Linked DNA regions of Arabidopsis thaliana. The protein of the gene in region 1 interacts with the protein of each later gene in a pairwise test. Each region holds a gene or a part of one and is shown in the gene's direction. Other genes may lie near its edges. The genes, in order: ATHB13, AT5G25475, AT1G22190 and AT3G51470.

Region 1 (8,413 bases):
AAAACTCCTATACACTTGGAACGACTAAACAACAAACCGAACGTGTGATCGTAATCTTGTTCATAATAAAAAAAAAAAAAACGTGCAAACGTGAAATGGTAACATGAAGGAGAACATGATACTCTTATTAGCTCCTTTATTCCAGGAAATCGAGCAGTGACATTATTTGCAAATAACTGAAATTTAAAGAAGAAAATACGTTAATCTCATCACTATTAGACCTGAAAATTACTCTAACTAGTAACTACTAATTACAATAACTTTTATATATATCCAACAAGGCAACAATATAAGTTTATATATGGACGTGTGTATAATTGTGTCCTTAAATATATTAGATTGAAGGCATATTAATGACGAGTGAATGAAAGAGAAGTGTACAAGAATAGAATAATATGGATGTCGAAATGAGAAGTAGCCTTTGTCGTGATGGCTGAAATTAGCCCAACTTTTGGGCCTTATTTCTTGTCATGGGTCCACTATGTCTTCTTTGCTGTATTTACATGTTTGTGTTTTGCAACATATGAACACCACCCTTTTCTCCAAAACTAGGAAAACATATATCAATTAATGTATTTCAAGTATTGACGTAAATTTTCTTTTTAAAATAATGAATACGAATGACATAATCATAGAGGATTTATGCAAGTGTTTGTATTAGTAGTGTCTCTGTATCACCATCTTGATCTAAAACATGTAGAATGCATATAGGCCTGAATAAAAAACAATAAACATGCATCACACACGCACACGTATATATATATTTATGTCTAAGTTTTTCATATATAAAGTATTTTACACTATGCAGCTAGTTCGCTAGGACTAGGAGTGGTGTGACACGAGAGGAGGGACATATTGTGACTTCTTGAAAACTACGTTGTTGGACTTTCCTGACTTTCATGTTGAGGTTTTGGGCGAGACATTTCCATTTGGATAAACAGTAATCGAAACATATGCTTTTATAGTGTCTGAAATAGATACGTCAAAGTTGGGTGATCATACCGAAAAAAAAAAACGACTATACAAGTTTTCCAAATTCGCTAGCAACTTGTAAGACTAGCCTTTAAATTCACATATCTAATCATACGCTATATTTCACTTCTTGATGATAAGAGTGCACATATATCGCGTCTAGTCAATCTTGTGAAGAATGGATCATAACAGTAAACAATATGAAGTATGGATAAAATCATACAACGTCGCTCAATCACCGCAAGTGATCTTTAGATTGATTGACCGTGCGATCTGTACCACACCGAATGTAATATAATGTATGAAATTTTTTTTTGTTAAGTTCTTCGAATGGATTAAAATGTATCTAGATGTTTACATCTTTTATGTTTTGCCAATAAATATAATATATACTTGAGTACTAAAAATAATTAGTTGAAATTAACAATTTTTACTCGTCTTCTAAAAACCAGATTGTTTATAACTTCTTTAATTTCTCTTTCCTTACCAAAAAAAAAAATAACTTTTTGGGTCATTCACATTCCATACAAAATAAAAATTAAATCATACTCATTCAATAAATATTCGGGTATTTGTGAAGCTATATGTATGCATGGATAAGTAAAAGTACTTTGATACAAAAGTTTTGATTGCAGAACGGCACGATGTGATGCGTGAAATGTCAGTTAGAGACGGATAAGTAGTCTCAAAGTAATGAATAGTAGTCTAATCGAAAGTGAAAATGAACGTTAAAATGTTAATAATTATGTGGTTGATGATGTTAGAGTAAACATCATCGATGAATACGGCACAAGGGATGTTGGGAAGAGAAATTAAGAAAATAATAAAATAAAATAAAAAGAAAGATTGATTATGGAAAGGAATGGAAGAGGAAAGGAGGGAGAGACAAGATAGAACAGCTCTTATGTGGGGTTAATCAAATAGTAGTTTTGTTTGGTTTTTTCCTTAACCTAAGTACCCCACGCACCATCTTTATACGTCTGTCTATGCATGCATATACACACGCACATATGCATTCATGTGTACATAAGCTATCTAACATATAACAGGTCTGTTATATATATGAACTTTAAATAAATGGAAAACAACAAAAGGGTTTTAAGAAATTGCATCATTAGATTTTATATTTGTAACTCTCTAATATAATGCATTTGGAATTTTTTGCATCACTTCCATTTGATATGATACCAATCAATCGGCCAACATAGCACGAGAAACCCTTCTCTCTTAGCGAGAATTTTACTTTTGTGATACTTATTGATTATTCCTATTATTGTTATTTTGCTAATTGTATAACTTTTTTGTAATTGGTCAATCAATATTACTCTACATATATACATATAGCATTACCAGTAGTCAATTGATTTCTTGTTTCGTTTTGGTATCTGTCTTGCGGTTGATAGGTTAGGTCAAAGCTAATAGGTTTGATGAGATCAGATTTGATGTACCATGATTCTCATAGACATGATCTAGAATTTCAAATACATGTTACAAGATTGTTGATCATGGACATACGTATAATCCATGCTTTTGTATATATTGTAAGTCTATTTACAGTTTCAATATAATTTTTTCGTTTAAACGCTATTTTGAGATGGTGATTGCTTTTCCATTCTATTTCAGACCAAATTTCAATTATGTTTGGACCGATCATACTTTTTAGACTTATTGAACTTTAATTTCATACAAAAATGATGAATTCTAAATAAAAACGAAGTAACAATACATATAGAGAAATTCTACACTACTATATTTTGTTAGTTTAATTTCTACTTTTTCACCTTTTTAGCGATAGACTTTAGCAGTTACCTATAAAGATTAACTATATACGTTCCATATTCTGAACTAAAAGATTAAACTAAGGTTCTGAATGAAGACCGTATTAGATAAGGTGGGTGGTGTAAGACGGACACCTAAAATAATATATTTTCTTATGAACTCTGATGTTATTCTGACTGCCTTGATCTTTCCAATTCACCCGCAATCGTTTTTATTTGAAGAATGAAAACGAACAAATTTAAAGTAACTATATATCCGACTAAAAAAAAAATCACAGTTATACTATGGTTTACAAGTGCAGCTATTATCTTCTTCTTTTGTTAAATATTTCAATCTTCCTTTTTCACATCAAAATAATCAAAACTAGCATCATAGAACATCTGAAAATCAATAATATCACTTCTCTCTTCTTCCCACAAAAAATAAAATAAAATTATGTACAATCCCTAGATCCACAGGTCTAGGTCAATCCATGTAGACACAATACGATTATTTGATGGGTCTATATATAGTCCATACGTACTAGCGTGATTAAATAGGATCAACATTGGACCCATTCACTATCCAGCTTCGTCCCTACCCCAATATCACTACATCATTATATATATGAAATTAATTTACATCAATAGAAGTATGAAAGGCGTTAGTTAGCTACTTATTACATATGTTCTCAGCCTATGCAAATGATTTAGCGAAAAATAAATTGTAAATTAAGTTCTTTAGAAATAAATTTAGATGATAAAAAGAGAGAGAGAGACACAACTTTGATAGTTATGATTTAAGATGAGAATTGGACTTACAAAAAAAAGGACAAATCTAATAAAAGAAAAAGTTATTAGATAAAATTTAAAGGACAAGTATGATGAGTGAGAGAGAACACCTCTCTGCATGTCTCTCCCAAGGGGAAAAAGAAGAGTCCTTTCTCTTCTTACCATTTTGATTATCATCTCTTCATTTTCCACTTTGTACGCAAGCTAAACCCCCTTGTAATTTGCTTCCTTTTTTCATTTTCAACAATATTTAGGATTATGCCAATTTGATATGAGTAATAACACAACGAAAACACTAAGATTACATGTTTTGGTCAATTCTACGATTTTTAATCTGCAATTACATTTATTTATTTTTTAACCCCATTTTTTTTGTTCTATCTCCAACTAAAAGTAGATATTACACCTCAATATCATATTCAAAGTTCAAACTGTGTCTTTTGTTGTGGTCTGATGCAAATTTTATTTATAGATGAATCTCAGCGCACCACACAATAATCCACTATCCTAAAGACTAAAGAGTAAGTATATACCAGGGTAAATTAAATTGGATCCCACTTTTACTTGGAAGCCAACAATGGTTAAAAAAATATCTATCTATAAACGATTGTCGAAAATGAAGATAAAATTGGAGTTAATAATTATATATACTTTGGCTTAACGTAAATGAAGTTTAAGCTTGTATTTGATCGTGTTATTTTTATTTTTTTTAACGAGAGAATCAATTGAGTGCGTCTCTTTCTCTTCTCAGCTCATATGTCCTCTCTCTCTCTCTCTCAGCCTTTCTATATAAAACGAAATAAAGAAGAAATTAAATACCAGAAGTGGTATAGTCTAGGCCGATACATTTCACTATCTCTCTCTCTTTTGTTTTTCCTCTTCTTCTTTTTTTCCATTTGATTTCAAACTCTCACACAAAGAGCTTCAGATTTATAAGACCATGATAATGGCTTTAAGACAAAGATTGGCAAGAAGAAAAAACTAAAGAGAAACGACCAAAATCTCAAGCAAACAGTACTAACTTCTGTTGCAAAACAGAAGAAGATGTCTTGTAATAATGGAATGTCTTTTTTCCCTTCAAATTTCATGATCCAAACCTCTTACGAAGATGATCATCCTCATCAATCTCCATCTCTTGCTCCTCTTCTTCCTTCTTGCTCTCTACCTCAAGATCTCCATGGTATATATACATAAACTTCCACACACATCTCCTCTGTTTTCTCTCTATCTCTTTCTAATGCTCTGTTCTGTTCTGTTTCAGGATTTGCTTCGTTTCTAGGTAAGAGATCTCCAATGGAAGGGTGTTGTGATTTAGAAACAGGGAACAATATGAATGGAGAAGAGGATTATTCAGATGATGGGTCACAAATGGGAGAGAAGAAGAGGAGATTGAACATGGAACAAGTGAAGACACTAGAGAAGAACTTTGAGCTTGGAAACAAACTTGAACCAGAGAGGAAAATGCAGCTAGCTCGTGCCTTAGGTTTGCAACCAAGACAGATCGCGATTTGGTTTCAAAATCGAAGAGCTCGTTGGAAAACAAAGCAGCTAGAGAAAGATTATGATACTCTTAAACGACAGTTTGATACACTTAAAGCTGAAAATGATCTTCTTCAAACTCATAATCAGAAACTCCAAGCTGAGGTAATTAATCTCATAAATTAACAAAAAAAATCAATATGTGTTATTTTTTTTTGGGTTAATGATCAATAATTACAGTTATTTTCCATCTAAAGGATGATTTTTTTCTTTTTAAAAAAGGTTAAAAATTATATTTCTGGTTTATAATTATTTGGATCAGGAGTTGCTTTCAGGTAGGGTTAAAAAACTGGACATGATTCATGACTTTTCAGACATCATTATCTCTTTTTTTCTTCACTCTTGTCTGGAAAGAGATCTGAAAACAATAGTTTCTTTATGCTTATCACATTGTACAGTAACTCTGTTTATGTTTAAAATTTTGTCTTTAATTACGCAGATAATGGGATTAAAAAACAGAGAACAAACAGAATCAATAAATCTAAACAAAGAAACTGAAGGATCTTGCAGTAACAGAAGTGATAACAGTTCAGATAATCTCAGACTAGATATCTCAACTGCGCCGCCATCAAACGACAGTACATTAACCGGTGGCCACCCACCGCCACCACAGACAGTTGGTCGACACTTCTTCCCACCGTCGCCAGCCACCGCAACGACAACTACTACAACAATGCAGTTCTTTCAAAACTCATCTTCAGGACAGAGTATGGTTAAAGAAGAGAATAGTATCAGTAACATGTTCTGTGCAATGGATGACCATTCTGGTTTTTGGCCATGGCTTGATCAGCAACAGTACAATTGAAATTGGTCTACCTGTTTTTTTTGTTTTTGTTTTTAAAAAAATTTATATTTTTTTTTTTTGTATTTGGAATTTTGATCAGAAGAACCCATGCATGTTTTCAAAAACTGGAATCTATATCATTAGCTCACTTTGAAATCTGCAACCAAACACCACTGAGGTTTTTTGTTTACTTTTTGAGTAAATGAGATGTAAAAAAATGGGTAATATCCATTATATTATATAAAAAATAATATCATTATGGCCCAACATTTTTCTGTATGGAGAAAAATAAAATAAATTGTATATTATATAGTTTAGTCGTGGGTACTGGCACCATGTGGTCGTAGTCGTCATATTCAGAAGTGGGAAGAAATAAATGGAATAGCACAAATGAAAAGGACATTTTCCATGAAACAAATCATTATTTTTGTTTAAATCCATGAAATAAATTCTGCATATGTCATGATTTGGTCGAGCGGGTTAAAAGGACCAAAGAAAAATGATGGGACAAAATCTAAACGAGTGAAATTTGTAATCACGAGACCTTACAAAAGACGTACGATATTTAAATCTGACGATGCCGCAGACCATCAATTTCATAACCCTTCTCTTATTCTACAGTTACATTATTCATTTCACCGTGTGTGTCTTTTTTTTTTTTTTAAGAAAAAAAAATCTAACATCACTATCAGCAAATTATAGTTTGTTTTTATATTAAAAAAGACAGCAAATTAGAGTTTGGTTTGATGAAAACCTTTGTTGTCCGGTTTGATGACAATGCCATTCGTTCTCGCGCAGAAATATTGATGAGGTATCAAGTAACATATCATGCATTAAAATAATGTGTCACCGTGTAAAATAGTACTCATCTATCAATGACATATATTAAATGCATAGTCCCATTAGAAGTCTTGGTTCATCAACACAAAAATATTTTAAGAAATCAGATATCCTCAATTTCTTTAAGATAATATGGGATTTTAAGTAGAAGAGATTATAGATTTGATGAGAGTAAAAGAAGCAGCAAGAGACATTAGACGCACACAGATTCCAAGGGAGATAGAGGAAGAGGACAAAGAGAGTTGGAAGAAAGCAAGCAAACAATTTGGGGTTGGAAAGTTGTCACTCTCCTTTTTAATCGACTCTTCTCCTTTTTAACTCCTTTTCATCTTCCACATTCAAATGGCCGACACTTTTAAACTTTTGGAAATTTCTTAAAGAATTCGATGTTTCCTTTTGGTGATAAATTTGAAATCTCACTTACAATCTATGTTTATTAAAAAAAATATTGAACCAATCATTAGAAAAAATCAATTAAAATTTTAAAAGATGCTAGCGACAAAAGAATGCGACAAAATCTATAAATAAAAGTTGCTTAATACCCAAAGATGTGGAGAAACTAAGGCCAATGTTGGCTTCAACGATGTTGAACCAAAAAAATTGATCGCCATATATAAAAGCGGTTGTAGGCTAGAACACCGTTGATTTTTTCTTCTAAAGAACTAGTGGTGAATTGCCAACTTTTTAAAACCAGAGAACTGAAGTGTCGCCAGTTATAGAATCCTAAATTAGATTAAAATCAAAGGATATTTTAACTTTCATTAGATTTGAAAAATCAAAACAGTTAACATGTTCAAACCCCCATGTTGAAAATTATTGGTGTTAACCCAAAGGTCCATAAGAAAATATCTCGATACTCGGTGTTAACTAAAAAAAATACTGCAAATGATACTATGTAGCTCTAGTTCAACACGATCTCTCTAGTCTCTAAATGACTATAAGAATTCAAAACAAAACATATCAAACGAAATGCGTTGGTGCGACCCACTAGAATCACCCACTTCTTTCCTAAAGTACAATTTTCTTTTTAGCTAACCGTGTTTGGTTTGCTTTGCTTTTTTGGTTAATGGACCCTTTGTAAACTTGGATGCTTCAACTACACTTATATGCTCACTCTTATCACTTCCACGTAATATACTTATAAATTGTACAACTAGGAAATGACTTCTTGTGTGCATGTGTCTGTATGATAAAATCCTATATCATAGAATTGTACATGTGGTAAAACATTCCTTACGTTTGCTATCTAGTTATAAATGTTATTGGGTACGTATATTTTTGAACTTTTGTAGTTAAAAGCTTGTTGCCTGATTATTTCTTTTGGGATAGAATATGTCATAAGATTTCTATCCGTGCCGGTAAAAAACAAAAAAAAATCTATTAGTGGCGGACCCCAAAATTCGTTAAATACAACATAACTATTAATCCCTTTACTTTAAAATATAAGATGTTTAAGATAAAAATACAAATATTTAGATAGTTTTTTTAAAAAAAAAATATGATTTGTATTTAATAAAAACAAATCTAACCAATCATAAAAAATATTACAGCATATAAATAGTTAAAAATAATAAAAATATATTTAAATTTGTATAGAACCTTGCAAAACATCTTATAATATGAAACAAAATAAAAATGTCTCTTACATTTTGAAATAGAGAGAGTATTAATTAAAAAATAGTTATTAACTGAAATGTGAGTATCGAACATGGTTATAGTGGGTCAATAC
Region 2 (8,298 bases), on another chromosome or scaffold:
TTTTATCTGATAAAATTGCTGAATGATTCAAGAAATAATTCAGGATGCGACAGTTTTGTGTGAGTATCGGTTTCTAGAAGATTTGAGAAGAGCGTGTTTAGAGGATGAATCAAAAAAGAAAAAGGACTTAAAGAGATTTGGAAGACTTGATGAAAGTGGAGTTTGATGAGAAAAAGGATAAGAGTAAATTTACTTTTTCTTATGGAAAAAGGAAATCTTCTCCTATGGTGATTAGGAAATCGTTTTGGCTACATAAGGAGGAGGTAGGACGTCTTGGAGAGGCAGGAGAGCTGAGACATAAAGACAAATCATTGAGAGCTTTCTAAGGGTGTGTGCGACATAGTTTCACGGTTTTATGCGACATAGTTTCGCGGGTTTGGTGCTTGTGTGATCAAGCTTGTTTGTTGGTGCGTGAAGGTTATTCCAGAGACTTGGAGAATTGAAGTCTAGGCTCAGAAGGAGTTTAACTCAGGGTTAGGTTATCCTGATTAAATCTAGACTCAGGGGAGTTTAGTTAAGGGTAGAGATTATCCTTAAGGTTTCACGTTTATAGAAGGGAGCGGTAAATCAAGAGGGGTGTGCTTGTTTTACGCGTTTGCGAATTCATTGTAATTTGCTTTCTTGTTCTAGTGAAATCGAAATCTGGACGTGGTCCCGGGGAGTAGGAAAAACCGAACCTCGTTAACAAATTTCTTATCTCTTTACTTTCTGCACTTTATTATTACCTCATCCGCACTTACATAAGTAGTAATCAAAAATCTCAACTAATACGATGGCGACCGAAATGTTTTTAGAAAGTTAATTTATCTACTTACATATGATCAATAATGCAAGAGTAATTAATTCCTCGCATATGAATGGAGATCAAATAGATAGTGTTTGTAGGTTCCGTGTTCGCGTATCGAAATAAAAAAATCAATTCCTAAATTTCTAGATTGTAGTTTGGGTCTTTCTCAATTTTATTGTAAATCAACTTTGTACCTCACTCTAACTATGAATTACTTATAAAATATTTCTATCAATCCTTTTCAATCTCACTAAAACCATCCAAACAAACCTACGTGGAATCAAAGTTCATATAGTATGAACATGAAGAACACTAGAAGGTCCAAAGATTCAGCCTAGATCAATGTTAGCTAGAGTCTTTTTTGTTTGTTTGTTAATTTGTTGATTGTTAGCTAATTTTATATCCCCATGAAATGAAAGATTAGACATAAAAAACCCACAACATACTTTCACACATACTAAAAAGCAAAGTGTTTGATATGCCATGTAATTCCCCAAAATAACATATCCTTAACCTTAATATATAAAACAGTGGTAACTAAAATTGGTTAACGAAAAAAAAAACAAAAATTGGTTAAGGATTGTTTTTTATTTTTTGTAAGTTGAGGGTTATTTTGAAACATATTGGCTAGTTTGAGGGTTTTCTTGCTAATTAATAAAGAAAAACGACAAAAAACAAAAAACATGGTTCTAACAATAAACCGAACAAGCGTGGTATGGTTCTATTACTAAACAGAACAATATAAAAAAACGGTTTAATTTACCCAAACGAATAAGAACAATAACCAAAAACTCCCAAATTAATTTTGCTTAAGCAGCAGCAGAAGAAGAAGCATGGCGGAACAAGAATTACAGAGAATCAATGAGAAGAAGCCATGGCAAGTTCTCGAGTTCTACAGTGGAATCGGTGGAATGGTAACAGTCTCCTTCACCTCCAATTCTATGTTTTTAGTGAAGTCTACTCTGTCTCATAAACCCTAATTCCTTTTTGCTCTTAGAGATACTCTTTAATGGCGTCAGGCATCGTCTCAGAAGTAGTAGAAGCTTTTGAGATCAATGATTCTGCTAATGATGTTTATCAACATAATTTCAAACATCGTCCCTATCAGGTTGCTTAATGCTTATATATGATATAATCAATAGAAGCATTGTTACATTTGCAAATCATAGATGATGCTAGTTCTGTGACTTAGTCCATGATTAGTTCTTATTGTTTTGGTTGTTTTTCATAGGGGAATATTCAGAGTCTCACTGCTGCTGATTTAGATAAGTATAATGCAGATGCTTGGCTTCTTTCTCCTCCTTGTCAACCTTATACTAGACAAGGTGATTCATTTCACTGTTGTTTTCTTTACTATCAACATGACTTGCTTTTGGATACTAACAGTTTTTTTTTGGTTAGGCCTTCAGAAACACTCTGGTGATGCTCGGGCTTTTTCGTTTCTCAGGATTCTTGAGCTTATACCGCATACAACAAAGCCTCCACAAATGTTATTTGTAGAGAATGTTGTTGGATTTGAGGTATAGTGTTTGCTTATGCTTCCCAGCTAGAGTACTTGTTCTCGATCATCTTCTTTGAAGTCGTGACATTTTTGCTTATTGGTGGTGTTTGTTGGTGCAGACTTCGGATACACATATGGAAATGATTGGTACATTAACAAAATTAGATTATGTCACACAAGAGTTTATATTGAGTCCGCTGCAGTTTGGTGTGCCGTATTCAAGACCACGTTATTTCTGCCTGGTACTTTCTCTTTACCTTATGATTGCGTAGTGCATATCTGTGTACCTAAAACTGTTAATTTTAGTAGTCTGAGAATGTATAAGTATATGCTGATTATGAAACTTTCTCATGTAGTGTGCACTTTCTCATGTATATGCGTTAATCTTTTTGTTTTAGTTAAAACGTCACTAACTTTGAAATCATTTGATTTACCTGGTGTCTTTGTAGGCCAAAAGAAAACCTCTGCCATTTAAGTCCCAACACAGTAATAACAAACTACTCTGGTCTCCAGACCCGTTATATGGGCGTGATGATCAGGTTGAGTTTGGAAAATGTCAAGCAGAAGAAGGATTGGATAAATTACTTGAGTTTTGCAAACCAGTAGAGAAGTTTCTCGAGTTAGCTGCACATGTTGATGGCGAGCCAAGTAGTGTTGATGACTCTGAAAATGGGTCCAAAGATTGTTGTGGACAAGAAGGCGATTCTGTCCCAGACTCTGTACATCAGTATCTAGTACCAGTTAGTTTGATAGAGAGATGGGGAAACGCAATGGACATTGTTTACCCTGATTCAAAGAGATGTTGTTGTTTCACAAAGAGTTATTATCGATACGTGAAGGGCACAGGTTCCCTATTGGCAACTGTCCAGGTACGTTCTTCCATGGAGTATACAATATTACTTTCCTCTGTATTTGCAAAGTGAAAAGAAATGCTTATCGTGAATCTGTGATCACGCAGCCAAAAATCAAGGGTAAGGAATCTTGTTTGAAGGAGCAACGGCTTAGATACTTCACCCCTAGAGAGGTTAAGCACTGTCCTTTACTTTTACTACTAATGCCTCACTGAAAAAGTCAGCTTTATTTCATTGAAAGATGATGTTCGGTTTCTATTTGTTTAGGTAGCTAACTTTCACTCATTCCCTGAAGATTTTGAGTTCCCCAAGCACATAAGCCTTCGACAAAGGTACGCTGTTCATACCGTCAACACCATCTAAGCCAGAAAAAGCTACTGTCTATATAGATTATGTGCATCCAAGTATAACAGAGGCACCGTTTTGATTCGAATATAGAATTTAACCCATAATACCCTTATTTCTCCCGTACTTCCTGTTTGAAATGTGGAAATAGTTGAACACAAGAACATGAATCTCATGAACTCCTCTTTGTGCAGATACGCAATGCTTGGAAACAGTTTAAGTGTAGCAGTGGTGGCTCCTCTGCTTCGGTATCTATTCGATTCTTGACTACACAATTTGATGCACTAAGTGACGCGACCAATTACCGGAATCAGTTATTCTCCTGAACAAGCTTCTACTACTTTTTTGTTTACTGATAAAGTTCAAACTGATGAACTTACGTTTTGTTATCGATCCTTAACTTTATGGGCCAGTATTTTAAATGGGCCTTATTCGGCCCGTTAATCATAATTTCTTACCCAAATTTCCGTAAAAAGTGACCATAATATTGGCATGAGACATGAGTCTTTTGACTGTCTCTCTCTCTCTCTCAGTCACTTTAAATTATTTGAGCAGCCGCAGCGAGAGGAAGTTTTCTTCAACTGCGACGGAGCGTGAAGTTCACGCTCCGGCGGTACTACCTAAGGTTTGTCGTTAGGGACGTTACTTTTACGTTATTACTTGCTTCTTCGCCACTTTTCTTCATTTTTTCCGACCAGAGATATTTTGTTCCTCCTTGTACGTACAAAGTGTTTGTTCTTTTTTTACTTTTCCAATTTTTTGGCTCTAATTTTATGAACAAATGCAAGTAGGTCATCATACAAACCCTAATTTTGCAGAACTGATCCAGCTTTGAAAAGAAAAATGTTGCCTAAGAATGCTATTGAGAAGATCCAAGCAAATGTGAGCAAGCCTTGCTTCTGGAAGTCTCTCTCTCCAGGACAAACTTGGAAATCTAAATCCATGGTAACTTCAATTATGACTCACTCCTCCTTTGATATTTACTCACTGTTCTTAGACTCTTTCTATTGAATTTGCTTTGTTACAAGTTTATAGCTTTGGATGTTGTTGCTAGAACAGTAAGATGTGATAATCCTTTCATGTTTAGTTTAGCCCTTTTATAGACAAGTTATTACAGAACTACCCGTTTGTTGTTGTTTGAAAAAGTTCAGATCTTTTCTTCTTTTAAGAAACTTTGGAGACATTCTAATGGCACAATGCCTCCTCTGCTTCTTGCTGCTTGGTCTTCATTTTGTTACTTATTGACCTGTTTTAGCTACCGTTATGGGTACTTTTACGTCGCAGGTTTCGTTTGCCCTTAGCTCATGTTTATGCTAGTGTTGGTTCTAGTCCTTTTCTCTGCATTTCTTGACCTACAATCCAATCTTTTAAGCTCGTGTTTTTGCTGCTTGTGTTTTTTCTGTAGAAAGTTATAACTTTTAGTCTCATGTTTCCTCTTTTGAATGTAAGTATTGTTTTGTTGATTTCTGGGTTTATTAAGAGGATAATTCCGGAAGACTTTGTGAGAAGAACGCGTGGTGCTTTTGAGCACAGAGTGGTGTTTAGTGTTCGTTGGGAAAACTCCTGGCAACTCTGGCTGGAGCGAGAGAAGAACGAGCTGTTTATGATAGAAGAAGATTGGAATGAGTTTGTAGACGACAATCATTTAGGTCCAAATGATAATCTGTTCATCAAACACGATGAGACGATGAATCTTGAAGTGCAAATCTTTAAGAATAATGGGGTTGAGATCATTGATGTACCTCTTGGAGTTGAACCCGAAACTGAACCATTTCATCCTACGCCCAAGAAACCTCACAAGGAGACAACCCCTGCCTCTTCCTTTGCCTCTGGCTCTGGCTGCTCTGGTAAGGCTATTCAGATCGATAGAATCATCAAACTCCAAACTATCATTTGTTCTCTATGCCAATGTTTGATTGGATTCTGTTTTGGTGGAATTCTCAGCAAATGGAGGGACAAATGGCCGAGGAAAACAACGTTCTAGTGATGTCAAAAACCCTGAGCGATACCTCTTGAATCCTGAAAACCCTTACTTTGTGCAAGCGGTGACAAAAAGGAACGACGTTCTGGTAATAATACAAGTGTTTACATTGTCAGCTTTTTATTCCATTTGTGGCCTAGAAAGCTAAAGCTTGTCTTTGTTTCCTGCTGTATGTGCAAGTATGTGAGCCGACCGGTGGTTCAGAGCTATCGCTTGAAGTTTGGTCCCGTTAAGTCCACCATTACCTATCTTCTTCCCGGGGAGAAAAAAGAGGAAGGCGAGAATAGAATCTATAACGGGAAACCTTGTTTCAGTGGCTGGTCGGTTCTATGTCGGAGGCACAATCTGAATATCGGAGACTCCGTGGTTTGTGAACTTGAACGCTCCGGTGGTGTGGTTACCGCTGTAAGAGTGCATTTCGTCAAGAAAGACTAGACCAATCCTCTCTAGTAACAACAATATGTTATTTACAACTTTCTGTAACAATGCTAAATGTGTCAATTATGTGTTAGTTTAACAAACTTGTCAATTCACTTGCAATCGAATCGATTCTAGAGTATGATGGGCCAGTTTCTAATATGGGCCATATCCGGCCCAATAATATTGTTTGACCATTTTATTATTTCCATACACAGTACACATTTGACACTTGTCACAGTGCTGTTGACTGTTGAGTCTCCTCTCTTTCTGAAAGCAGAGAGATTCGATTTGGAGAACAAGGGCTGAGAAGAGCAGACACAGCAGCGAGAGGAAGCTTCTTCGACTGCGACGGTGCGTGAATTTCATGCTCCGGCGACGTTACTTTTGACGCAATTACTTGCCTTTTACGCATTTACTTTGTTCTGACTTCTGACCTAAGTTTTTTTCCCCTTTGACCGTACAAATTTTGCTTCTTTCTTCGTTTTTCTCTGTGTCTCTCATTAGTCACCATTTTCGTGTTCTCTGCTTTGTAACACTTTCGGGTTTAGCTACTGAAAGTAAGAAAAGCGAGATAACGCATTAAAGGTTTAATTTTTATCCAGTTTTACTGTTTCACTGATTTCATTACATGCAAGTCATCTTCGTCTTTGTTTATGAACCCTAATTTTGCCGAATCCATCCAGCTTTTGAAGAGAACAAGATGTTGCCTAGGAATGCTACTGATAAGATACAAGGAAATGTGAGCAAGCCTTGCTTTTGGAAGTCTCTGTCTCCAGGACAAAACTGGAAATCTAAATCCATGGTAAAACAAAATTAGTCTCTCTTCTTTTCTAATCTTTCGAAAATGTAGCTCCTTTGATTTTGTACTCACTGTTATTTCCATTGAACTTCTTTGTTTGCTCTAAAGATCTATTGTTCGTTTGTTGTTCTTGTTCGAAAAAGCTTTTGATCTTTCAAGAAACATTTGAGGAGATTTTAATGGCACAATGATTCCTGCTTCTTGTTCTGCTTGACAAGCTCGTGTTCTGCTGATTGTATTTTAGCTTTTAGTCTCATGTTTCCTTCTTCTAATGTCAGTATCGTTTGTTGTTGTCAACTGTTATGATTTCTGTCTTTATGAAGAGGAGTTTTCCGGAAGAGTTTGTGAAAAGCACGCCCGGGGCTTTTGAGCACAGAGTTGTGTTCAGTGTTCGTTGGGGCAATTCTTGGCAACTCTGGCTGGAGCGAGAAGAAAAAGATCTGTTTATGATAGAAGAAGATTGGGATGAGTTTGTGGATGACAACCATTTAGGCCCAAATGATAACGTGTTCTTCAGACACGATGACAAGATGTTTCTTGAAGTGCAAATCTTTAAGAATGATGGGAACGAGATCATCGATGCACCTCCTGAAGTTGAACCTGAAACTGAACCATTTCATCCTACTACACCAAAAAATTCTCACAAGGAGACAACCACTGCCTCTGCCTCTGCTTCTGCTTCTGGTATGGCTATATTCAGAATGAAAGAATCGTTTTGATGCTCTTCATACTCAATACTACTCTTTTCTTTTCTCTCAATGCCAAAGTTTGCTTCTTTTTGTTTCTGTTTTGGCAGAATTTTCAGACAATTGGCGAGAGACACATGGTTGTGCTGATATCAAAAACCCTGAGCTGTACCTTCTAAACCCCAAAAACCCTTACTTTGTGAAAACGCTGACAAAAGGGAATGACGTTTTGGTAATAAGAGCAGTGTTTTCATCAGTTTTGATTCTAGTTTACGTTTGTTGCCTCTAAATCTAAGACTTATCTTTCTCTCTATTTCTCATGTACAATGTGCAACTAGTATGTGCCCAAAACAGTGATTAAGAAGTATGGCTTGAAGTTTGGTCCCCATTTGTCCCCCATGCATTACCTTCTTCCCGGAGATAAAATAAATGGCTCCACTAAGATCTATGGCGGTGGCAGTGCCCCTTGTTTCAATGGCTGGGTGGACCTATGTCGAAAGTACAATCTGAAAACCGGAGACTCTATGGTTTGTGAACTTGAACGCTCTGGAGAACTGGTTACTGCTGTTAGAGTGCACTTCATCAATAAAACATGAGATGAGTCCTCTCTAGTCTCTTTTCTTTAACATTCGTGTTTACCAAACTTACTATTGTAATGTTTATATGTGACCCTTATGTTGCTTTAACAAAACTTAAATGCTAAATTTCTTATGCTTCTGTTACTTCATTGGAAATGCTCGATTGTGATTCAGTCTTATATGCTCGTGAGAAGTAAAATATGCATACAACTTTATTGTAAGTTTTGTAACTCTTCCATAAAAATTAAAAGGCCTAGATACATAAGATATAGGCAACGTTTCTTTTGCCTTCTCATACAAGAAAATACAATATAAGCAAAGGCCCATCTGCCTATATAAAACCCTAACTC
Region 3 (8,036 bases), about 18 Mb from region 1:
ACTCTATATTTTAAGGATAAATGATAAGATTAACCTAAATTTAATCGGTTAAAAATATAGGTAGATGGTCAGGACTTACGTGATTGCACAAAAGTAAAGGAAAGCAACAAGTGTTTAGCAACAATGGCAAAAGTCTTTTTATGCCAAAAGCTCAACATATCAAGGAAATGCATTAGCAAATGACATGTATTTAGATGGATACACAACTATATATTTTTTTCTCAAATTTTCGAATTTAGAAAATATATTTAATAATACGAAAATAACAATTTGTATATTTTAAGCACGTTTACGGAAGGAGTCCTATACTATGGAGTATGATTTATCGTTTCTGTTTATTGGTGTTTTTTTTGTAATACAACGTAAAAAGTCCATTAATGAGAACAAAATACATCCTTGAGAAGCTTTTTTTCTTACCATCTTGTACAAAAACATACGACATAATCACATAAGCTTTGTATAATAAATAGTCTGCAATGGCCATATGTCATGCAAAAATTAACGGAGACAATTCACCTAAAATCCACATGCAATTCCTCTTTCCCTCGTAGAACAACGTGCAACTGATCGAAAAACAACGACACCCTCCTTTCGATATCACCAAAGGAAAAATAAATTAGCAAATCTATTTTTCTCTACTTTCACTTCACCCAATACACGCATTTTCACATGCATTTGTATTTTACCAACTTGTTCTACTACTACTATATTTCTCATCTTATGCATTAATATAAATTAAAATTAGGTGAGTATATTTCTCATTTTACGTATTAGTGTTAATTAAATTAGGTGAGAAAATACAATTGTAAACTAGTAAGATCATTCAAAGTCAAGAGGTCAAAAAGACACGTGGAGTTTAATAAGCCTTTTAAGGTGAGCTAGTCAGATAAACAGTACAAAATGGACCTTTGAGGGTGAACACGTGGCAGATTCGCAACGGTTGTTTGACTTCGACAGATAAAACGGACGCGTTTGACGGAAACCGCGTTATGAGCATTAAATTGCAAAAGTTCATACCAAAAGCAAAAATCCAATCAGATCCACCTTCTTTTCTTTTCTTTTCTTTTCGACCAAATTAGTCACAAATCGGATCTACCTTTTTTCTTTACGATTTACAAATATTTCTCAAAAATCCTAAAAATGACATGTATGTACTATTATATTACTTGATTTAGATGCAGTGAATCTAGCTATCAAACAACTACTTTTATAGACAAGTTAAGGAACAACAATGCAAAAATGTCAGTCATTTCATTTGCCCCCAATAAAAAAAAAATGTCAGAGAACTTGAGAGTACACTAATAAAGTATTATTGTTTAAATAAACTAGATGAACACCCATGCTACGCATCGATTTTTGTTTTTAAAATTGTCGGAAAAATATGATTATGGTTTTTTGTTGATTTTGATGTTCATTTTGATTGTTTGACAAAAAAAAAAGATGTTCATTTTGATAAATTCATCCATTTAATATAATTATTATTTTTTATGATTAGATTCATCTATAACTCAAAATATCAATTCAACTACAATATGAATATTTATATATTTATTATTCTAATATTTCACTATCATGATCACATACTATAACAGTAAATGATATACTGATATAAGTAGTTATATTACTTATGTATTTTAAAACTTGTCTAACTTAATTGTAACAAACAATTCTTTATTCCATATATTATCTCGTTATCTAGTACACAATCACATCCTGATATGCTAGTAATTTAAGTCAACATTTTAATTCTTATCCCTACCATATAATCATATAAAGTCACATGTTGTTGTTTTTTTGGTATGTCTAATGTCTAGGATGACTATTACGTGAAAAAATTATATATCAATGTTACAAAATTATCTTAACACACAAAATGTACCGAAAGAAGTTCATATGATAAATCAAATTCACAAAATATAATAATAATAAAATATTTAACTAAAATTACTAAATTAATATGAGGTTAGGTAGCAAACATCTAAACTACAACACAAGTAAATTTTTAGCCATTATAGATTAATGATTATTGATTAAATGTTTTTAATAAAATAAGTAGAATAAAATGAAAGTAGTGCTTGGTACATTATTATGACTTTTTATTTATCGAATGTTTTTTAGAAAATTCATTTAAGAGTGAGATTAACACAACAAAAGACTTTTAATTTTTTCTCAATTAGTTTTGCTAGTTTTTTTATTTAATTAATATAGAATGACACATGTCATTTTTTTGTGTGATGATGTATCATTTATATGGAGAGTGTAGGCCAATTTTCATATATATATGATTTTGAATAAAAAGAAAAATTCAAAAGGAGAAAAATAGGCAGCAAAAAGCTGTCAGTTATTACATACAGCTAAGACTTGAGTAATGATTTTGTAGTTGACTATTTCATTTCCCCTGTGGACACGCTCGGCTTACGGTTATGAAATCATGCGTTGGAGTTTTTCTTGCTTTTCCCTTTTCTCATGCGTAGAGTTTTTTTTCTTTCTTTACAATTTGTTTAACCATAGTTTTATAGGTTTGTAGCTATATGAGTGGTTAATTTATGGTCTAGCTAATTGGTCTTTTTCTTATTCAGTTTTTGCATTAAATGTAGATATCAATACTGAAAGTTGACTTTTATCAAAAATACATAACAAAGTATAAGAAAAATAACGCTTAGACAAGTTATTACACATATGCAATGTTCACCAAAGCAAGCAAGTACGAAATATACATGCATATGATAATACATGTAAACGAGATAAATCAGCATCGTAAAGATGAACTGGTAACACGGACACGAGCCATCCACATGGGTGGTACCTCCTTATGCGCGTCTTCCCTCAAAATATTGATCATTATAAAATGATGACACCATAGTCTAACCTTGCAAATTGACGCCGTATTGATTGTAGTGACATTTGTACACGATTACACGAAGCAATAAATTAAGTGATGCAACTCTATAAGATATCGTAAGATGATGAAATGTTTAATAAACTAATTAAATGGATGATATAATACGGAATTGACATTTGAGGAGTTCTCAGCCATTCATTCTAACCCTCTAGACCCTTCTTTTTTAATCTTGTATGATTTATTATCTAAATAAAAGTCTAAACCACTCATTAACATGATATCATCATTACATTGCGAGCCAAAATTATTGCTTAACAATCATGAAGTCTACGTGTGTCACATTCGGAACCTCCGAATAATTATTTTTATACTTTTTCGGTTTGATATACTTCAATATATACTATTAATTTGGATAATCTCATTCTTAATATTCTCTCAGTTCCATTTTATTGAAAATTTTCAGAAGTTTTGTTTTCGCATATATACAAAAGAATTCTAAATCTACTAGCTGGACTAGTGGACCAATTGTTGGACGCCTCTACCAAATAAATCGTAAAAATATGTTGATTTCAATTTTATCAATTTGGCTGGAATCGAAGTGCTCGTGTACATTAGTTTCAACCGCTTAGAAAGACGTCTAGCTAAATGAGTAGACAACCATTTTTTTAACTAATCTTTTAAAATTTATGGAGTTGTGTACGTCCACTCACTTCTATTTGAATAGAAAAAAGATTAATATGGTTATGGAAGAAACGTCCCATAAAGCCGGTGTGAATGTAATATAATGAAATGATTCTCCATCAAACTATGATTGTAAAATTAAAACGCTTCGATTATAGAATAAACTTGTAGAAACATTTTAACTTGTAAAAATTAACCATTCTAAAACAAAACTTGTTAAAACTCAACTTACAAACAATGTTTGATTGAAATTGAATATATATTATTTGGAGTACGTAAACATGGATGATCTTATCTGAAATAGTACATAAAATAACAAAAGAAAAAATTAATTAAACATATAAATTTGAGAAATATGAGGAGGATGGAAAAAAGAAGTCACGCCACGCCTCCTATATAAACAAGAGCCAAGCTAATGAGATAAGTGTATCGGTGAGGCTGAGAGTTATTCACTTACAAAAAAAAAAAAAAACTTGAGTGTAACCAAAAAAAAAAGTTGATATACTTTCTGGTTTTCTCCTTAACTTTTATTCTTTACAAATCCATCCCCCTTAGATCTGTTTATTTCCCGCTACTTTGATTCATTTCTGTTAGTAATCTGTCTTTCGTATAGAAGAAAACTGATTTCTTGGTTTGTATTTTCTTAAAGAGATCAATCTTTTTTTATTTTTGATCTTCTTGTGTTTTTTTTTCTTTGTAGAATTAATCGTTTGTGAGGGTATTTTTTTAATTCCCTCCTCTCAGAAATCTACACAGAGGTTTTTTATTTTATAAACCTCTTTTTCGATTTTCTTGAAAACAAAAAATCCTGTTCTTTACTTTTTTTACAAGAACAAGGGAAAAAAATTTCTTTTTATTAGAAATGACAACTTCTATGGATTTTTACAGTAACAAAACGTTTCAACAATCTGATCCATTCGGTGGTGAATTAATGGAAGCGCTTTTACCTTTTATCAAAAGCCCTTCCAACGATTCATCCGCGTTTGCGTTCTCTCTACCCGCTCCAATTTCATACGGGTCGGATCTCCACTCATTTTCTCACCATCTTAGTCCTAAACCGGTCTCAATGAAACAAACCGGTACTTCCGCGGCTAAACCGACGAAGCTATACAGAGGAGTGAGACAACGTCACTGGGGAAAATGGGTGGCTGAGATTCGTTTACCGAGGAATCGAACTCGACTTTGGCTCGGAACATTCGACACGGCGGAGGAAGCTGCTTTAGCTTATGACAAGGCGGCGTATAAGCTCCGAGGAGATTTTGCGCGGCTTAATTTCCCTGATCTCCGTCATAACGACGAGTATCAACCTCTTCAATCATCAGTCGACGCTAAGCTTGAAGCTATTTGTCAAAACTTAGCTGAGACGACGCAGAAACAGGTGAGATCAACGAAGAAGTCTTCTTCTCGGAAACGTTCATCAACCGTCGCAGTGAAACTACCGGAGGAGGACTACTCTAGCGCCGGATCTTCGCCGCTGTTAACGGAGAGTTATGGATCTGGTGGATCTTCTTCGCCGTTGTCGGAGCTGACGTTTGGTGATACGGAGGAGGAGATTCAGCCGCCGTGGAACGAGAACGCGTTGGAGAAGTATCCGTCGTACGAGATCGATTGGGATTCGATTCTTCAGTGTTCGAGTCTTGTAAATTAGATGTTGCCATAGGGGTATTTTAGGGACTTTAGAGCTCTCTGCGATGGAGTTTTTGGTCATTGCAGAGATTTTATTATTATTAAGGGGGTTTGTTATGTTAATATCAAATAAGTTTATCTACTTTGATGTTAATTAGTGTTAATCTCTGCGTCGGTCCAAGCTGTTTTTTTTTGGCATGCTTCGACCGTGTGAGATTTCTTATGTAATTTTTGTAGTTCCTTGATTTTCTTAGTTCAAGTTAAATTGGCACAAAAGAACAACGATCAAAGTAGAAGAAACTAAATTCCTTAACTATAAAAACTTGATTGGTATGAAACTGCAAAAACTCCTTCTAAATCTACAAAACATGTAACTCACTTCTCGTAATAACTAAATTCTGGAAGTGTTGCTTAGACTGTAAATGAGGAAGCATCCTGAATCAACTTTAGTGTATTTCAATCCATGGCTTTAAGCTAATCTAAGAAACCACTTTCTCTGATTATCAACAAACGTAGACACTTAAAAAAACAAGGCTTTAGTTTAATAACATAAAGCAAGATCGGTATCTTCAGATTTAGACTACACTTTAAACAAATGAGCTCAAATTAAATAGGAAAAATTAACATTCGTTTCAATCGGTGATAACAACATTTTACACTTTGTATGTTGCCTATGAAGAGATAGTGAATAGTGAAAGGCAAAGTTCAGATCCTGGAATATCTTACAGTACTACAAAATTCTTTAAATCATCGCATTGTCACAAATTCAAACCTAATGTCTAACTGTAAAACCCGTAGAGATGATTCTCCAGTAGCTGATCAAGAAAGTGTGGAGAATATCAAACAACTCAGTTGAATTTACCAATCTCCATTTTCTTCTTAATTGCTCGTTGTCCATGGTATATGAACGAATCTACTATTCCCGATACCGTGAAGATACCTGCAAATCAAAGGTATAATTTTAGTTTTGAATTTGATGATAAACATATCAGTAGGGTATGTTTAAATTGAATGGAGAAGGGATATATATATTGATTACCTCCTACTATAGCGCAAACATTTGTTAGGAAGTGCAAGAACTCCACATGTTGCTCCTCAAATATCACCTAGCCAACAATCAAAAGTTAAAATGTTTCTAGAGATATAGTCTCCGTTGGTATTAAGAACACGACTTGGAAAAAGAAAAAGAAAAAACGAACAGACCTTAATTGGCGATAGATCATAGTAGAAGAAAACACCAGGCGGAGATTGCATGCGACCTGCTTCCATGTTCTGGAAATGTTCTGTCACAGAGAACTGTTAAAAACAAAAACTCATAGGTTAGATTTTACAAGAAGAAAATGACAAAGATTTTTATATAGAGATTTGGGGATGTGGGATTTACCTGGTTTGACTGTATTGTATTCTGGTGAACATCGGTGTATATGCTTGGTACCACCTGAAATTCAACACCACAATCCATTCTTTATCCCTACGCTCAACAATCTTTCTAGCATGCAAAAGCTACCGATAAAGAAATTCTTATTGCATTGGTCAACAAGCATAATGTATTAATGTCTTTGTACTTCTCTATCAGTAACCTGAGCTAATAATGAGCCTTTTAGGAATCTCAAAATTTTGTACCTAAACTATTGTCCCAGGTGAGAGCATTGTCTATAGATATAATGTACAAATGAAGCAAACCTTGATGAAGTATTGATAGACGCCACTCTGTTTCCCCTGATTCCACTGCACACTGAGAGAACCAAGAGAATGTTTCAGAAGATAGGATTATTGAAAAAGCGATAACAGGTGCGAGTAATGGCTATATAATTGAGTTTTTACCCATCAAGAGGGTTCACTACACCGGGGAAAAAGTCTCCAAAGGCCAACCTGTTGACCTTGTGGCTAATCTGTGTAATGATATAATAGAGTCAAGACCCATTTGAAATATGAGCTTATAAAGAGAGAATGAAACAAAAATAAAACTTTTCTTACATTGTAGTTGCCTTGCTGGAACAATAACATATCATGAAATTGAAAACCGGATTGATGAAAGCTTTGCCCAGGAATGAAATGAAAGTTCCCAGCAACTTTGTTAACTTCCAAGAAACCGTGAACATTACAACCTTCACCTTCTTCATCTTTTACCTTTTGCACAAAGCCTTCTCTTTTACACTGAAATGAAATGATGAGTAAGAATATCATACAACTAGATGTGGGGATAGCTGAAACGAAAGACCAGATACCCATGGTTTCTTTAGATATATCCATTTTAGTGCCAAACAAGGTGTCACTATTTGTTTCAAACTAAGTACCAAGATCAACCCAATTTTGTTGTTAGTGAAGGAACGTCAGTATACCTGGTCGATTGATTCAGGGTCCGAGAGGGCCCAACCTTTCTTTCGGTAAGCTTCGCGAACTTCCTCACATGAATTACAACAAGCATCATCTGACTGTAACATGTAAGCAATGACAACCACAACATGTAACAAGGATAAAAAACATTTCACCACCATAGAAGAAACTAAAATGTAAATTAACTGAATCAACACTAAAGAACTCAGTTGAATATTCTCTACTGCAACTTAAAGTCCAATATCGCTTGTCAGAGCATATTCTTAGAATAATTTAGGGAAGCTTACCGCTTCTGCTCCAAAACAGGAACCACAGTATGTTTCATTGTGTTCCAACCTTCCACCATGTTTTTGTAAAGGTTTTTCAATCTATGGATAAACAATAACATTAGGTAATTAGAGACATAACGAAGCAAACAAGACAGAACTTCAACACTTTCAATCTCTTAAAACTTCTTGCAATGAGATCAGAGATGACACATGAAAATGAAAAATTTCAAAACCATAGAAAAACCAACCTTAGTATGACCAATTCCGTCTTGTTTTGCCTC
Region 4 (7,854 bases), on another chromosome or scaffold:
ACTTCATCCTACCGGTTAAGCCAATTCTATCAACCTGTAAGATGCTCTCAAGAAATATCTTTCCTCCATCAAAGACTTTCAGAGCATCAAGGTGCAAGTTTCCACCCCCAAGCTCAGATATAATCGGATTCTTCGAAAAGGAAACGTTTCCACCTTTTTTGAAGAAATCATCAATCGCCTGAGCAAGCAGCCAGACAGTGTCATAAGCATACAGTGCATAAGTGCTAAGTCCAACATGAGTTAAGTTATGCCACCTTTGAACGAAGTTCTGCTTCATGATAGAGTTGGGAGTGTGCAGGCGCAGTGTAATGACCCCTTGAATGTTATTTATGGTGTCCAATGGGAGAGGAGAGTCTGTGTCTATAATTGTAGAAAGCCAGTTGGTAGCAATCCACACATAACCAGTGCTCATCATACCAAGATTCCGAGCCACATTGAACAACTCTAGGCCCCAGATGAAAGAAGCGTGAACGACGATAATCCTTGACTCACTCAAAGCTACCTTAATCAGCAAATCGGTGATATTCTCTCTGGTAGGTGCGGGGGGCAAAGCTGCTTTGTATGAGATTCTGCAGCGCTTCTCTGATAACCTGTCTCCCAAGGCAGCTACCCCATTTCGGCCATAATCATCATCGCCGTATATTGCTACCACCTCTCTCCAACCATAGAATTGAACAATATCTGCTATGGCGGCCATCTGAAAGAGATCATTTTGTGAAGTTCTGATGAAGAAAGGGAACTGCAGAGGAGACATAGTAGGGTCTGTGGCAGAGAAGGATAGTATAGGAATTTTTAGTTCTGTTGCAACATGAGCTACTACACGGGCGGTCGTAGATCTCTGAGGGCCAATTATGGCCACTGTCTCAGATTCCATGAACTGCAGAGCTTTTAATATGATACATAAAACAATCAGTCAGTTAACCGGATACCAGAATATGGACATGAGTATACTTGCATGTTGCAGTATCATAACCTAAAGTAGATAGCAGAACAATCCAAGACATGAAAATGAATCAGCGAGCATAAAAAGTTGATTCAAAGGTAAAGAAGACCAGAGGAGTAGAGACCTTTCGAATAATCCGTGAGCAAAACATAAAAAGGAAATGATTGAACCTCGACAGACAAACACATAATAATCATCCAATAATCACAGAGTTGTCTCACTTACGTTCCATGATGCTCATGAATCCATTGTATTTGGTGTCATGCATGATGATCCTAAGTGTAGTGGTGTTAAGAATGCTGGGGCTAGCATTGACGTCTTCAACAGCAGCATCCATAGCAACTTTGATGACTTTACCAATGAGAGAATTAAATGTGAAAACCGAACCGATGTTCACAACTTGGGGTCTCGCAGAGACAATTTTGGTGAGTCCTTGTAAAGGAACAGCATTGCAGATGATGAGCATAAGCAGAAACCACTTCATCTTCTCAATTTCAGGAGATTCCTGTTTCACAAAGTAAAAAAGAGAGGAAGGTCAAGTCACTGAATTTAGCCACCATTACGAGCAGATATAGAATGTTTGAGGGAAGAAAGATGCTTGACCTGTCACTTTCTCTCACTAAGCATGAGGCAATGGTGGAGGAAGTAATTGAGTGCCCATTATAGTAGGTGTAAAGTGGAGATCTTCTTTATGTAATGGTACTCACAGATTCAACTCTCACTCACTCAAATCCTTCATATTTCCCCCAACCCACTTCTAATCTCATATGATTACTTCCACATCACAGTGAGAAGCTCCTTCAAATACTAAACATACCACTCAGATGAAAAATCTCAGCTTTCACGCAATCAAGTTAGTGCGCAAAAAGAAACTCTCAAGTGAACACCTTTTTTGGCTTTCTATACCCTAAAAAGTGATAATTGGCTAAATGTAGAAAGAAAGAAACCCAGATTCACAAAATCAAAGCTTTTCCATAGAGACCGAGATAAAAAAAAGTGTATACCTTAAGGGTTTTGGAAATTGATTCAAAGGTTGATCAAAAAGCCAGACACAACCTTCATATTTCGTTCAAGCTTTTGTCTACTGTATAATATGTACAAGCGTGAGGACTGAGGAAGATGAAAGTGACAAAAAGAAGAAGAGAAACTAATAAAATATTAAACTTTAAATATTCATTAATCGAAATGATTTACTATTTTACAAACAGAGTTTTGATCAACAAAGAGGTATACTTATTATTGAGTTATGCTAACAGAGGGATCATCAAAACAAGTTCTAAAAGAGTGCTTATGTACTCACCCCAGTCCTTATCAAGCGCACTAGCTCAGAGTTGCTTGGATTGTCATGACCACTCCCAAAAGCTAAAAGCTCAAACGGGACTGCATAAGGTAATAAGTTGAGAGCAGCAATGAAAACATCAACACAGAAGCCAGAGATCATCCCGTTGCTTTTGACTGAGACAACCTCTTCGGAACGATTTGGAACTCCACTCCTCAAATGCCTTCCATTGTTCAAATTCTGTCATGGCCAGACAACACTATGAAGCTTCTGTCCCGAAAAGGATGTGTTCTCCAGCTCGTCAGTCGGCGTCACAGACAAGCCTAAATTATTATACCAGTAACCAATGGTCCTGTAACCAGTGCCAATGACATTAAGCAAATCAAAAGCTGGATTTACAAGGTTCCTGTCTCTAGTAAACTTTATCCTAGCGGTTAAGCCGATTCTGTCAACCTGTAAGATGCTCTCAAAATCATCAATGGCGTAAGCAAGCAGCCATACAGTGTCATAAGCATACAGTCCATAACTCGTTCACAGATTCAACTCTCACTCACTCATATCCTTGTGTCTCAGTGGAACCATCAATTCATATCTCCCCAACTTACTATCAATCTCATATGATTACTTCCACATCAAAATCAGAAGCTCCTTCAAATACCAAAAAGACCACTCAGATGATAGATACTTGAAAAAAAACTCAGCTTTTACACAATCGAGTTAGTGCGCATAAACAAACATCTCAAGTCAACACTTTTTTTGCTATCTAATACCCCTACAAATGCGAGCTTTTGCAATTGTTTAATGGCTAATTGTAGCACTATAGAGACCGAAATTCACAAAAATGTTGTCATTTTCTGTAAAGTAGATAGCAACAAACAAACCAACAAAAATCGGAGCAGAAATGAAAAAATGTACCATTAGGGTTCTCTAAGTAAAATGATACAAAGACTCCGACGACACCACCAAAAAGAAATGGGTTTGCTTGAGAGTAAAACCCAGACACAATCTTCATCTTTCGCTAATGGGAAACTAATAAAAGATTTAATTCTCTTTTATATTCAAACTAAAAAAAAAATATGGAGATTGGAAGCACACGTGGCATCCAGAGAGCTGATTGGTGAGTAAAATAAGGAGGAAGAAGAAGAAAGAAGCTATTTTTATAATTTAAAAGAGATGACTCTGACAAAAAAAGAAAGCTTTTGATCGGAATCTGGAAATGGCACCGGTGACTGAAGTTTCTCCGATGATCAACACATTGGAAGTCGCAGATGACAAAATGACGAATCTCAGTTCCTCTGGGAAACCTCCAAGAAACATCTCTGCAATGCGCCATTGCAACAGCACTGCCTGGTTGACCGATTACGTTGGTTCATCTCTTCTTTGCTTTTTTTTTTTTTTAAATTCAAATGCTTGTGATTGTAATTGCACGGTCACGAACAGATAAGATAATGTAGCTTAGATCGGATCTCGTGACTCAAAAACAATCCAAAGTTTGAAACTTACAATGTGAAAATGATTTGTTTGCAGGAAGGAGATGAGAGATTTGGTGCAAAATCTCCGGAAGGAGTAAATTCAACATTCCAGCCTGTGTTTAGATCTGGAAGTTGGTCTGATAAAGGACCAAAACAATCAATGGAAGATGAATTCATTTGTGTTGATGATCTCACTGAGTATATTGGATCATCCACTGGAGCTTTCTATGGGGTATATAAGATTTGCTTCATCGAATATTTCAAAAAAGTTCTCTTTTTTAAAATGATTGTTTGTTTATGAAGGTGTTTGATGGACACGGAGGTGTTGATGCTGCATCATTCACAAAAAAGAACATTATGAAGCTTGTAATGGAAGACAAACATTTCCCAACCAGCACAAAGAAGGCAACAAGGAGTGCTTTTGTGAAGACTGATCATGCTTTGGCTGATGCTTCTTCTCTTGATAGATCCTCTGGCACTACTGCACTCACTGCTCTCATTTTGGACAAGACTATGTTGATTGCAAACGCTGGTGACTCCAGAGCGGTGCTTGGGAAACGAGGCAGAGCCATTGAGTTATCAAAGGACCACAAACCTAACTGTACTTCCGAGCGGCTACGTATTGAGAAGCTTGGAGGTGTGATCTACGATGGTTACCTTAACGGGCAGCTATCTGTGGCTCGAGCCTTAGGAGATTGGCACATTAAGGGAACTAAAGGTTCACTCTGCCCGCTCAGCTGCGAGCCTGAGCTGGAAGAGATTGTGCTGACGGAAGAGGATGAGTATCTTATAATGGGCTGTGATGGACTCTGGGATGTGATGAGTAGCCAGTGTGCAGTGACGATGGTGAGGAGGGAGCTGATGCAGCATAATGATCCTGAGAGATGCTCTCAAGCTTTGGTTAAGGAGGCTCTTCAACGAAACAGCTGTGACAATCTTACTGTAGTGGTTGTCTGTTTCTCGCCCGAAGCGCCTCCTCGGATTGAGATTCCCAAGTCGCATAAGAGGAGGAGCATCTCTGCAGAGGGATTGGATCTCCTCAAAGGTGTTTTGAACGAGTTGTGAAGGAACTGAGAGCAAGTTGGAAAAAGGTAAGAAGAGTTACTTTATTCTTTTTTTGTTTCCTCTTTTGATAGGAAAGTCAGAGAGATATTCAAGGTTGTGTGCTTTTTTCTCTGGTTTTTCCAAGTTTTGATTGATTCCATTTTTTGTACTGTAGATCTTAACCATATTTAAATGATTAATATTTGGTTTCATAATTTAAAAATGCCTCATTGAACTGCTTCTTGAACTTGTGAGGCCTCTTTTTGGTTTGTTTGAATCCTTACCAAATATCCAAAAAATGATCAAGCAACAATGGAGCACAATCTCTCAGAAACAACCGTAGAAAAGATTTAACAGAGGGTAGATGTGCATCTGCCACAAAATAATGGATCCTAACACTAATATAACGATTGACCATCTAGGGACTGAGCCTGAATAACAAAGATGCGCATAGGTTATGGCTAAACAACCTAGAACATGCACTTCCTTTGTCTGCCATTGGTCTATCATGCCTCATGATGAATTCTACAATGGAATCACTCAACAAGAAGTAGGGATTTAGAAAGCCATTTGTCGGACCGAGTAATCATAGAATGAACATGAAGAAAGATGTGTAACTGTATCGAGTCATTTGATGGCTGTGGGAGTATTAAATCATGAGGGATCCAAACCTGAGACAATTGCCTCTAGATGGTGTCACAAGGTCCAATTTTGATACAATAAAATAAAACAATCGAAGGGAGAAAACTTTTGTCTCCGACTTGAGTTCCATGTCTTTAATTAATTGATCTCACGAAATGAATCAGCCTCTGGGCTTGTGCAGACGAGGTCGGTTACAGAAGATCCTGCCATTGGCCCTCACCAGTGCAGCCATGCCCACGCAAATTCCCGTCCACAACAATGAGAAGAACAAGTGCTTATGCTTATAATCACTCCCAGCTGCTCAGCAAATTTTACACAGTTTCAGATTAAGTTTGAAAGAAAATCTTAACTATCCAGCAAAAGAAATACCATACTTACTTTGTTTTAGAGACATTGTTGCAAACCAGAAACTCATCAGAACCACGAACAATGCCACTGGGAAGTTCTGAGACATGAAATTTACATTGTTATAAGACTAGAATTCTTTGTATGCTAATATAGTGGAAATTAGTTCTAATCTTAATTGATAAATGCTTACGGCTACAGCCTCAAGGCCTCCCTTTTGAGGTACAGGAGCCATGTCTCGGCTCACAGCAACTATGTAGTGCCCTTGCAAGAGATCAATTGCATCCTATTGCACATAGCCATATTAACTTGCGTCAGGACACATTCCAGTTACAGGGGTAAGTGACACCAAAAGTAGTCGCACACAGTTGCAACTGAACATTATTAGATGATACAACTAGAGTTACTGAGAATGAAAATTCACTGACCTGCTTAGTTCCATCAGCAAAGTTATTCAGGTAATAGCGTCTGAGGGAGCTCCAACCATCTTTAAGGACACCATGGGCAGTCCGATGCCCATACCTACAATTGAGCCGGTTAGAGACGCATTAGATTGCAATGTAGAGTAATCTACAAAACACTCCCTTATATTGCTTTATAGCCAGGACTTATTCAGACCCAAGATTAAACATATGGCAAAAGTACCTAACGAAATCTCCTTTAAGTGCAGGAGTACCAGAGTACTGAATGCTGATTTCATCACCATGATTAGCCCATACTGAAAGGCGAAAGCACATAAGCAACATGAATAAATTCGGAATTTTACATCTAAGTTCTACAATAGATTTCCTACAAAGGTAAGAGACTGACATATTTTATAGTGTTCGTCAAAATTCAGATGTGAGCTTATGGTTTCTTCAGCGCCAAAAACTCCAATCCTTTTGAGTTGAACTTCTAACATCTTTCGACCTATCATGCTCTGCATTTGGCAGGAAGTATGCAGCATGGATGAGCAAAGGCCAATATGATATTAGCTGCATCATAGTTTTCTTATGGCTAACCTGGGTAACATTTGTACGGTCTAAGCAATCTATGCAGTTTGATCGGACAACACCAAGCTGCTCCTTCATTTTCTCACCCTTTTCATTCAACAGAAAGTACCTGCGTATTTCAGAGAATGCAAAATGACGTGCCATTTTTTATTTATAATTATTCAGATTTCAAGATTACATAAATAGAAATGTACAAAGAATCATACCCATTCTTTTCGAGAAAACCCTCGATCTGCTCGTACAGAATTGATAAGCGCTCAAAATGAATATGCCCACAAATTTGATGGAAATCAAAGTGCAGGTACCTACAGGATAAGGAACCTCCTTTAATGAGTTGCAAAACAATAAGCAAGTTGTCTAAGAAACACATTAGACGAACAGATTGACTACCTTATATCATCCCCAGTAATGTGTTGCATAACAGTAGCATACTTCTCGCATAAGCGCCCCTCACCGCCTTGCTGATTAGAGAAATTAAGGAATAAAAAGTTGGAGTAGATTTATGCAATGCAATTAATTTAAAGACCAAGGTGAGCTCACAAACATGACCTGTACAACATCTTGAGTCACATAACTACACAAGTATTCATGTCAATTTGAAAGAATTTGTACCTTGTTAACGAGATCAACTGCCAAAACTGATCCATATTTTTTCCTAAGGTCCAAAAAGTGACGCTCAGCTATCCGTTTCTACAAGAAAAGCACCCTATGCAATTTACTTGAAAGAAATAGATAAATTACTAAAAGAGTAGGTAATTAGTCAGAAATTAGTACTCACAGCTTCTTCAGGTTGGACAATTTCAAACTTGGGCTTGTAAGTCAGATCTACAACCTGCTCCCACATAAAAGGCATGGATCCTCTGACCTGCAAATGTAGGAAGCAAAATAACATTAAGAGTTTAATCGTGGATAACTCAGTCTCGAGAAAAGTTGTATGAAAAAAAAAGGTAATTATAAAATGACCAAAGATTTGCAGCATTAAGGGAATTCACAATATGCAAGCATGTAAGAAAAGCTACCTGAACAAATGATGACGTATACCCATTCATCTGTACAATTTGCTCAGTCTCCACAAAATTAGCAACATAGCCATCAAGATCCGCTCCTCTTCTCCACATACGTGTACCTTGTAAAACG

What was found.
Region 2: the proteins of ATHB13 (region 1) and AT5G25475 interact in a two-hybrid assay, tested with the Arabidopsis thaliana proteins (one large-scale study listed by BioGRID).
Region 3: the proteins of ATHB13 (region 1) and AT1G22190 interact in a two-hybrid assay, tested with the Arabidopsis thaliana proteins (one large-scale study listed by BioGRID).
Region 4: the proteins of ATHB13 (region 1) and AT3G51470 interact in a two-hybrid assay, tested with the Arabidopsis thaliana proteins (one large-scale study listed by BioGRID).

Annotation. Positions count from the first base shown.
Region 1 is NC_003070.9:26,254,601-26,263,013, forward strand, and holds ATHB13 (Homeobox-leucine zipper protein family), read left to right. Parts: upstream 1-4,187; 5' UTR 4,188-4,565; coding exon 4,566-4,701; intron 4,702-4,782; coding exon 4,783-5,165; intron 5,166-5,499; coding exon 5,500-5,865; 3' UTR 5,866-6,181; downstream 6,182-8,413. UniProt on the Arabidopsis thaliana protein: Probable transcription factor that may act in the sucrose-signaling pathway.
Region 2 is NC_003076.8:8,865,522-8,873,819, reverse strand, and holds AT5G25475 (AP2/B3-like transcriptional factor family protein), read left to right. Parts: upstream 1-3,998; 5' UTR 3,999-4,109; exon of another isoform or gene 4,110-4,302; 5' UTR 4,303-4,327; coding exon 4,328-4,429; intron 4,430-4,739; coding exon 4,740-4,790; intron 4,791-4,889; coding exon 4,890-5,331; intron 5,332-5,428; coding exon 5,429-5,553; intron 5,554-5,645; coding exon 5,646-5,900; 3' UTR 5,901-6,023; downstream 6,024-8,298. Other genes in the region: DNMT2 (DNA methyltransferase-2), read left to right, coding at 1,621-1,701, 1,785-1,895, 2,019-2,112, 2,189-2,307, 2,408-2,530, 2,738-3,157, 3,247-3,312, 3,407-3,471 and 1 more; AT5G25470 (AP2/B3-like transcriptional factor family protein), read left to right, coding at 6,586-6,687, 7,008-7,368, 7,481-7,602, 7,709-7,966.
Region 3 is NC_003070.9:7,831,860-7,839,895, forward strand, and holds AT1G22190 (Integrase-type DNA-binding superfamily protein), read left to right. Parts: upstream 1-3,921; 5' UTR 3,922-4,385; coding exon 4,386-5,171; 3' UTR 5,172-5,552; downstream 5,553-8,036. Other genes in the region: AT1G22200 (Endoplasmic reticulum vesicle transporter protein), read right to left, coding at 5,998-6,089, 6,189-6,255, 6,353-6,445, 6,534-6,587, 6,833-6,884, 6,974-7,041, 7,127-7,306, 7,492-7,584 and 2 more.
Region 4 is NC_003074.8:19,094,829-19,102,682, reverse strand, and holds AT3G51470 (Protein phosphatase 2C family protein), read left to right. Parts: upstream 1-3,407; 5' UTR 3,408-3,438; coding exon 3,439-3,585; exon of another isoform or gene 3,586-3,734; coding exon of another isoform or gene 3,735-3,749; coding exon 3,750-3,926; intron 3,927-3,997; coding exon 3,998-4,759; 3' UTR 4,760-4,961; downstream 4,962-7,854. Other genes in the region: GLR3.6 (glutamate receptor 3.6), read right to left, coding at 1-885, 1,169-1,427; RHD4 (Phosphoinositide phosphatase family protein), read right to left, coding at 5,541-5,677, 5,759-5,825, 5,919-6,011, 6,154-6,247, 6,371-6,443, 6,536-6,644, 6,727-6,826, 6,924-7,022 and 4 more.